Linked DNA regions of Xenopus tropicalis. The protein of the gene in region 1 interacts with the protein of each later gene in a pairwise test. Links are inferred from orthologs where the notes say so. Each region holds a gene or a part of one and is shown in the gene's direction. Other genes may lie near its edges.

Region 1 (4,606 bases):
AAGACTTTTGCAAGACAAAGAAATAAACAACCTTTGTCAGAAAAGTGCAATAAGATTGGCCAAACTCGGGTTGACCAATGACCATGTGTCACTGCCCAGCAAGATTTTTAACTTTTCTTTTGGCATTGATCATTTGGTTGTTCAATTTAATGAACAGTTATGAAACAGGTAACCTTTAGTTGATAGTATTTTAAAGGTTTTCCCAGTTAAATGATACTTGGTAGCAGTGAAATTATTAGAGTAGAAACAGAAAAAGGAAGGGTGGTGTTTATTTTATAGACAAGGTGGCAACCATAGTTTAACTTCATTAGAGTATTAGATAAATGGCATGTAGCTAAGATCAAGGTATAAGCAATGGTGCAATAACAGCTGGCTAGAAAATTTGTCTCTTAAAGTTATCAGGAGCGGCTCTTTGCTGCCCCGTGTCTTTTTGGGGGGCGCTACAGCCTGAGGCAAGTTTCTCAACTCGCCTCATGGCAACAGTGCCCCTGGGCAGGGATTTCTTAAAACTATAGCAGACCCTGCGGCTGTCCAGTCCCCCCCTGCAACCATGAGGTCTACGTCCTCTATAGTTACACCACTGGGGATAAGCATGAATTCTATCTGCATCAGATTACTGGACTCATTTAATAATCGGCTCCAGCACATGAAAAAGCTATACGAGCACTAACCTTTACTATTATTTATTTATAAAATGCCCACATATTCTCCACAACTTTTATTACATGGCTTTTTGTGTAGTGGAGGACTTTGTCTGTAAAGGTCAAGTGCTGTGGATTTCTTTTGAGTTTACCATAATTATACATAATTGGGCCCCATTTCCTATAAAGCCCTATATGTAATTCGTATCCCCAATTACTGATAAATCAAGTTTTATAGTGTCCCTTGTCTTCCTATTATAATTTATCCCTGCCCACCCTGGACAACTTATTCCTCTAGTGAAATCGTTGTGATGCCATGGGCAACCTGGTTGTTGGATTAGCCCTTACCAATCCCACCATAGCCAGGTAGTGTGGAACATTACCAAAAATATTTCTGACCATACATTGGGGATCTTCCTAAGACAACAGACCGTTTAACTTAGCAATGTGCGCTGTATACGCGTCAGGCTGAACTTCAAATGTATTCTTTTCATTTTGCTTTCCACCCTTTCCTCTTTCATTTTGATCTAGTTAAAGCTTCCTTCAGCCTCTCTGTCGCCTACTTTCCTCTTCTCATCCCTGCACCCCGTATTTCTTTTTTTTTTACACCTCCCCACTTTCATTTCTTTCTCGATGATTTTCTCTTCCCTAAAGAAGAATCACATTCGTACCGCGAATATAAACGAAAACAATGGAAACCACCGAAAAGCGCTTTATTCTTTCAGCCTAGCGCCACAAGTCTCCACCACGGTTCTACTACACACACAACTTCCTATACTCTAACAAGGTACGCACAGAACACGCAAGATCACGTGCTACTTATTTTCCTGGCCGGCAAAGGACACGCCCCCTAGCCAATCACGGCCTGCCTTTCACACGTCCTGACCCACCACTTCCTGCGTCGCCCGGAAAGCTGTAGGCAGGGGGTGAGATTTGCCGGCACATTGTCAGAGAAGGAATTGTCACTGCGCTGTCGCACCTGAGAGCAAGAAGTTGTACCATGAGCGCGGGTAAGGGACAGGGGAGCTACAACTCAAACATATTTCCCTGGCGGAGAGGCCATTGGCAGTGGGCTTGCCTCCTTTACTGTGATTTTACTGTCGCTTGTGCTGAGTCATGGGCGGGGAATAGCAGCCAGGGGCGTGTTTTTCTAGCAGCAGGCGGGGCTCTAATGTGTTAACCTTTGTGGCGTTTGCTCGCCTGCATCCTGAACCATGAAGCTGTGTTGTTATGTCACCCCCACTGAATGCTGGGAATTGTAGTCCAGCTCGTTTCTTCGTTTAAGAAATGTCATGCTTGTTGTTTCTCCTTCTACCGTAGCGAAGTTGTAAAAAACAGTAACCAGTGTACATATTGGTGTGCCCTCACGGATTACCTTCCTGTAACGAGAAATGTACCTATGGTGGTATTTGTTCTGGTTTGCACAGGAGATTTCTTAGGGAAAGGAGGCTTTATATGCACGGTATCAATAAAATGAGAAGTCAAAAAAAAAAAGGTCAAACTCCATTTCATTGTTAAAAGTGAGTAAAGAGTATTTATTGAAAGGGTTATCACATGATTTTAAACCATTTTGGGTTTTGTTTTGTTTTTTTTCACACAATTGTAACATTATATCCCCTTTATTTTCAAATAGAAGAATTATTAGAAGCTACCTAGGAGTTGCATGGCCTGTATGAAAGAACTTAGTGTGTTAGCCATGTGAATTTGTGAGGTCATGAACCTCCTTTGTCTTCTCCACTATCCATGCCTTTAACAATAGGGGTACATACAGTTTCCCTCAAAAGACTGTTTGGCCATGTATCCAACAACAATATGGGTATCCTTGCGCACACTATTGGCAACTGGCTTGCTGCTATGACTCAATGATCCTTTTCTCGCAGTACATCTACACTAGAGAGAATTTTATGTATATAGCAGCTACTGTACCCCTTTCTTAATGAGCACCTATCACCCTAAAATTGCTTTCTCCACCAGAGATGCGTGCTAATAGAGCAATTCGGACAAGTATGTTGTGGCTCTCACATGCGCATAACGAGCAAATGTCACAACTCTCTTATTATGTGTATGCGTGTGATGGAATGGAGAGTCGCATCCACTGCTTCTATGTCACACACATGCACAAAATGCACATTTTTTTATTTTTAGAGAAAACTATTGTTTGTTCTATTAGCCCGCACCTCTGGTGGGGGGAAACAAATTTAATTTTTTTAAACTTAAAGGCACTTGGCCTGCATTCTTATACATTTATGGTTACAGAATTTTGAGACTTCTAGTTCCAGTGTCCCTATAGCTGAGAGAAGGGCATGCATTTTCCATTATAGATGATCATTATATATTTATATTGAGTATAATCACTTACCTCAGACCTTGGGCTTTGCAACTCTTCACTAAAAATTACGAACCTGGGGGTGCTTTTTTTAGTGATCGCCGTGCATCTGCTGGGTCCTGGGATATGCATGCACAGTAGAGCAAATTGTCGGCTTTTTCTGATTTTACTCTAATGCACTCAAGCATGTTTCCGTTGTTGTAATTCGATCATTTGGTGATGATCACTTTTTACCATTAACCTTACAATGTAATATTATTACTTTATAAAAAGCTAAATTAGGGTAGCTTTTAGAAATGTATACCCTATGAACACATCACATTACAGTAAAATTTAAGTTGCTTTCATTTTTATTGTTTCTAGCTAGCTTAAATACTTAATAAGTAAAACAAATATTACACAGCATATTTATTTGATTCAACACTTCTTTTGACTTGCAGTACTCTGCTTCCTTTAAGGTTTAAGCTTGGAGAAAACATCATCTTTCAAGGAAAAACTGAAATCCGAACCTCAGTTCTTACTGGCTCAAAATGTAGCAACATGTATCGATCCACTTGAAGTGTGTCTTCAGAGGCAGACTGTGCAGGACACAGTACACGTTTTCCAGCACACTATCCCGGCAGAGGGTAAACCAGTTACGAACCAAAAGAACTCAGGTAAGGGAGCCATGCTGTTTTTATTTTTTAAATGCACTTACAGAGGTTCTGCTTCCACCCACACCAGGCCTGGACTGGCAATCTGGGGATTTTGGCAAATGCCAGAAGGCCTGCTGTAAGATGCCACCAAATGTTATTATTTAGTCTGTTAGTTGGGGCTGTTTGGGCCTCTGTGTTCTTGGAATGCCAGGGCCTCCCAATCCAGGTCTGACACACACACACACACAGCTTCCTAGTATCAATGGATGTAAAGTATACTCTCAAGTATTCATACAGTATTGCAGTTATTACAGACATTGTTGGAATTGAATTTACCGTATCAATAAGAACCTCCGGTGGAATCCCAATATGGGGGGTACTATGTATGACCCCATTTTGCTGACACGTCCTTAATGAACATAATGCCATGTAGTGTTCTGTAAAAGCAGTGGTACGCAGTTGTTTTGCCACCCATCGGATCTATTTTTTTTTCTGAGGATGACTGTTCCTCAAAGCTGCCTTCAGTCCAACAGTACCTGCAGTTAGAGTGCAGCTAGTGTGCTGAGGAGCAGTGCTTCCTCCTTTCTTTGTTAATTTTTCATCAACCATAAAAGGAGTAGCACAGGTATGGGATCTGTTATCCAGAATGCTTGGGACTTTTCTGAATAAGGGGTCTTTCTGTAATATGGATCTCCATACCTTAAGTCTCCAAACATTAATTTAACCCAATAAAATTGTTTTGCCTCCAGTAAGAATTAATTAAATCTTTTTTAGGACCAAGTACAAATCACTGTTTTATTGTTACATAGAAAAGGGAAACCATTTTTAAAAATTTAAATGATTTGATTAAACTAGAGTAAATGGGAAGTAGCCTTTCCACAATTCGGAGCTTTCTGGATAACAGGTTTCCGGATAACGGGTTTCCGGATAACAGACACCTGTATCACTTCTTAAAGACAAATTGTGACTACTTCTGTGTTGTCCTTTGGGTTGTTGGGATGTTG
Region 2 (2,913 bases), on another chromosome or scaffold:
CATTACTCTTTAACCATAAATCATTTATATGGCTGACTGCCTTTAAAAATGCAAATCTTGTCACCATATGAAAATGTTCTTTTTTTAAAGCAATAACAGCAAAATATGATCTGTAGGAAAAAGGGAGGTAAGAAATTTGAGCCTCATTTAATAAAACAGCAGTATATTTTCAAGTCAGTCTCTGTTCTCAGTTGTCATGTGAAGGAAAACTATGCCACAACAAATGGAAAATAGACTATAAAACAACATAATTGCTGCATCCTGAACAAAGAAGAGCTATTCTATAGTTTAAGTGGAAGCCTATAAGTGTATGCCTAGCAGCTATGGGTCCTGAGTTCAGTTCTGACATGGACGCTATCTGCAGGGATATTGTATGTTCCCCCTGTGTCTACGTGGATGTCCTCCGGCCACTCCAGCTTCCTCCCTCACTCCATAAACATACAGGCAGGTTAATTGGCTTCTGACCCATGTCCAAGTGTGATAGGGACCTAGCACTTAAGCTCCAGTGGGGCAGGGAATGATATAAATGATGAACTCTCTGTGCAAAGAGCTGGGGAAACATGTTGGCACCATATAAATGAAGGATAATAAAAGTAATGTCATCAAGTTGTACAGTAAATGCTTTATACAGAAGCACTCATTTATTCCTAGCTGTCAGATGCAGTGTTTTGTTTCCAGTATAGAAGCCTGTGTGATGCACAGTGCTTTGAAGGCCTGTTTAAAATATCGCTGCCTATATTTATCCAATGTTTAACATGTTGCAGCCAATATCTGTTCAATGTATATGTACACTAAGGACACACTTGGGGCAGTGGAGCAAATTTAGGAGCCAAGGAATTTATGTTGAAAAGTGGTGTCCCAACATCCCCTATGCCATCTCGAGTGAGAATAAGCGCTGCAGGAATTTGTCACTAATTCTGTACTTGTGCATGTGCAAGCACAGGGGATGCTGGGGCACTGCAAGAGCATGGAATCATAGTGCTAAAGAGAGATTTTTGGAATAAGAGGAGTGCTGACTTGGGGTCTGAAGTAAGTGAATAGTATCACTGGGGGTGCCTAATGATTTTACCTTTCCTTGTCCTTTAAACACTGATTCCTCTGATGCCAAGCCTTAATAAACACCCCAGTGACTCTCTGCTAGAGGATAAGTCCATGCTTATAAAGATATAATTTATTAGGCTAATAGTTACAATTTACCCTTCCTGGAAAGAGAGCCACTGAATACACTAAAACTATTATTGGCATTGGCATTAATTTGTGGTGTTAGGGGATCCAGAAGCTAATAATGAGAAACCTTTTTGTTTCTTATTATTATAACCAATGTATTAGGATTCTGATAGGATTCTGATAGTGTCCAGGCAAAGATAGAAATTCCAGGAAATAATACTGTGGTTTACATTAGGATTAATGTCATATAAATCATAAATGATTATAACAAGATCTGTTTTTTTGTGTTGCAGGTTGTAGATGCAGTGATTAAAGGAAACCATCATGCATTAACTGTACCGCCAAGGCAAGCCATTGCATATCAGTTAATAAAGCACTGGATCGGAATGAATGCCAATCTGTAAATTTGTGTGATCTAAATATACATTTAACATTTTTATTTTAAGAACTGAGAAATGCAGTTTCCATAGGGATGTACTATCATTGCACCTACAGGATGAGAAGCATAAACACTATAATCAATGCAATAAATCCCAACTTTAATATTTTACTACAAAATCCTTTTTTGTGCTAAATTTTCAGGCAGAATGAAAATTTATCTGGAAACCCATTATCCAGAAAGGTCCAAATTATGGAAAGGTTATCTCTATAGAGTCTATTTTAAACAAATAATTTACATTTTTAAAAGTGATTTCATTTTTTTCTGTAATAATAAAACAGTACCTTGTACTCAATACAACTAAGCTGCATGAATCCATATTGGTGACAAATTAATCATTGGGCTTATTTCATGTTTAAATGCTATTTAGTAAACTTAAACTATGGTGATCCAAATTATGGAAAAACCTTTATCTCAGAAACCCCAGTTTTCAGGGTTTCTGGATTAGAGATTCCATACCTGTATATAAGGGCATAAATACAACCTTAGTAATTCATACTTAATAAATATATTTATTATTTAATGTGTTTGTTTATTTTGGATACCATTTAAAACAATGTATGATTTAAAGCAGGGCTGTACAAACTAAAGGCCTGCAGTCCAGATGAGATCTGCCAAGAGGTTTTTATGCCCCCCTGCCCTACATCGATTTCAATTCATCCACTCATCCACAGGTGAAGGCTCAGAGCAATGCATGGGAGCACTCTGCTGCAATTGTACAACCAAGTGTAACAAAACAAAAGCACCAAACTGGACTCAACAGCTCAATCTAAGCAGTGACAATCTGTGATGGGGCAGTCTGTGGGGTGCACAGAGGGAATGCTAGACTAATGGGTGGGGGGAGGTTGGGAAATGATCCATGCAAGTGAGAGCCAGACTATCCTTGTTTCCTCTTAATCTGAGCAATCAGCTAAGTCTGTGTAAAAACTTCTATATTTTTGTTAGTTTAGTGTTTATTGATATATTTATATTTTAGAATGTGAGTTATTTTAACAAGTAGTTAGAATGAGAATATATATATATTTAATATATATTTTTTTAAGAATAACGGTACATTCCCACATTGGTGACTTTATCCCCTGCATGCCAGGGCCTTTGATCTTGTTGTGCTGAGTGTTGCGAGACACAGAACTACAGAGATCAAAGTGCATCCTAGAAATGTCAAATCTATGGTGCTTGCAGTGCTTGGCAGTAGTTGTAGCAAGCTGTACCTATGGGATGTTACGAAGTACTAAAGCTCTTTTTTGGACTGAAAACAGCCCTGCCTGCATGAGAGGCACATAGATAAAGTGGATATAAAAAGTCTA

Evidence for each region.
Region 2: the proteins of blmh (region 1) and nudt12 interact in binary tests that used the Homo sapiens proteins (3 or more experiments, as listed by UniProt). The two-hybrid records come from large-scale screens. The link is inferred for Xenopus tropicalis from reciprocal best matches to the Homo sapiens genes BLMH and NUDT12.

The regions. Positions count from the first base shown.
Region 1 is NC_030678.2:32,501,419-32,506,024, reverse strand, and holds the start of blmh (bleomycin hydrolase), read left to right. Parts: upstream 1-1,597; 5' UTR 1,598-1,641; coding exon 1,642-1,651; intron 1,652-3,425; coding exon 3,426-3,623; intron 3,624-4,606. UniProt on the Homo sapiens protein: The normal physiological role of BLM hydrolase is unknown, but it catalyzes the inactivation of the antitumor drug BLM (a glycopeptide) by hydrolyzing the carboxamide bond of its B-aminoalaninamide moiety thus protecting normal and malignant cells from BLM toxicity.
Region 2 is NC_030677.2:175,352,120-175,355,032, forward strand, and holds the end of nudt12 (peroxisomal NADH pyrophosphatase NUDT12), read left to right. Parts: intron 1-1,460; coding exon 1,461-1,571; 3' UTR 1,572-2,129; downstream 2,130-2,913. UniProt on the Homo sapiens protein: mRNA decapping enzyme that specifically removes the nicotinamide adenine dinucleotide (NAD) cap from a subset of mRNAs by hydrolyzing the diphosphate linkage to produce nicotinamide mononucleotide (NMN) and 5' monophosphate mRNA.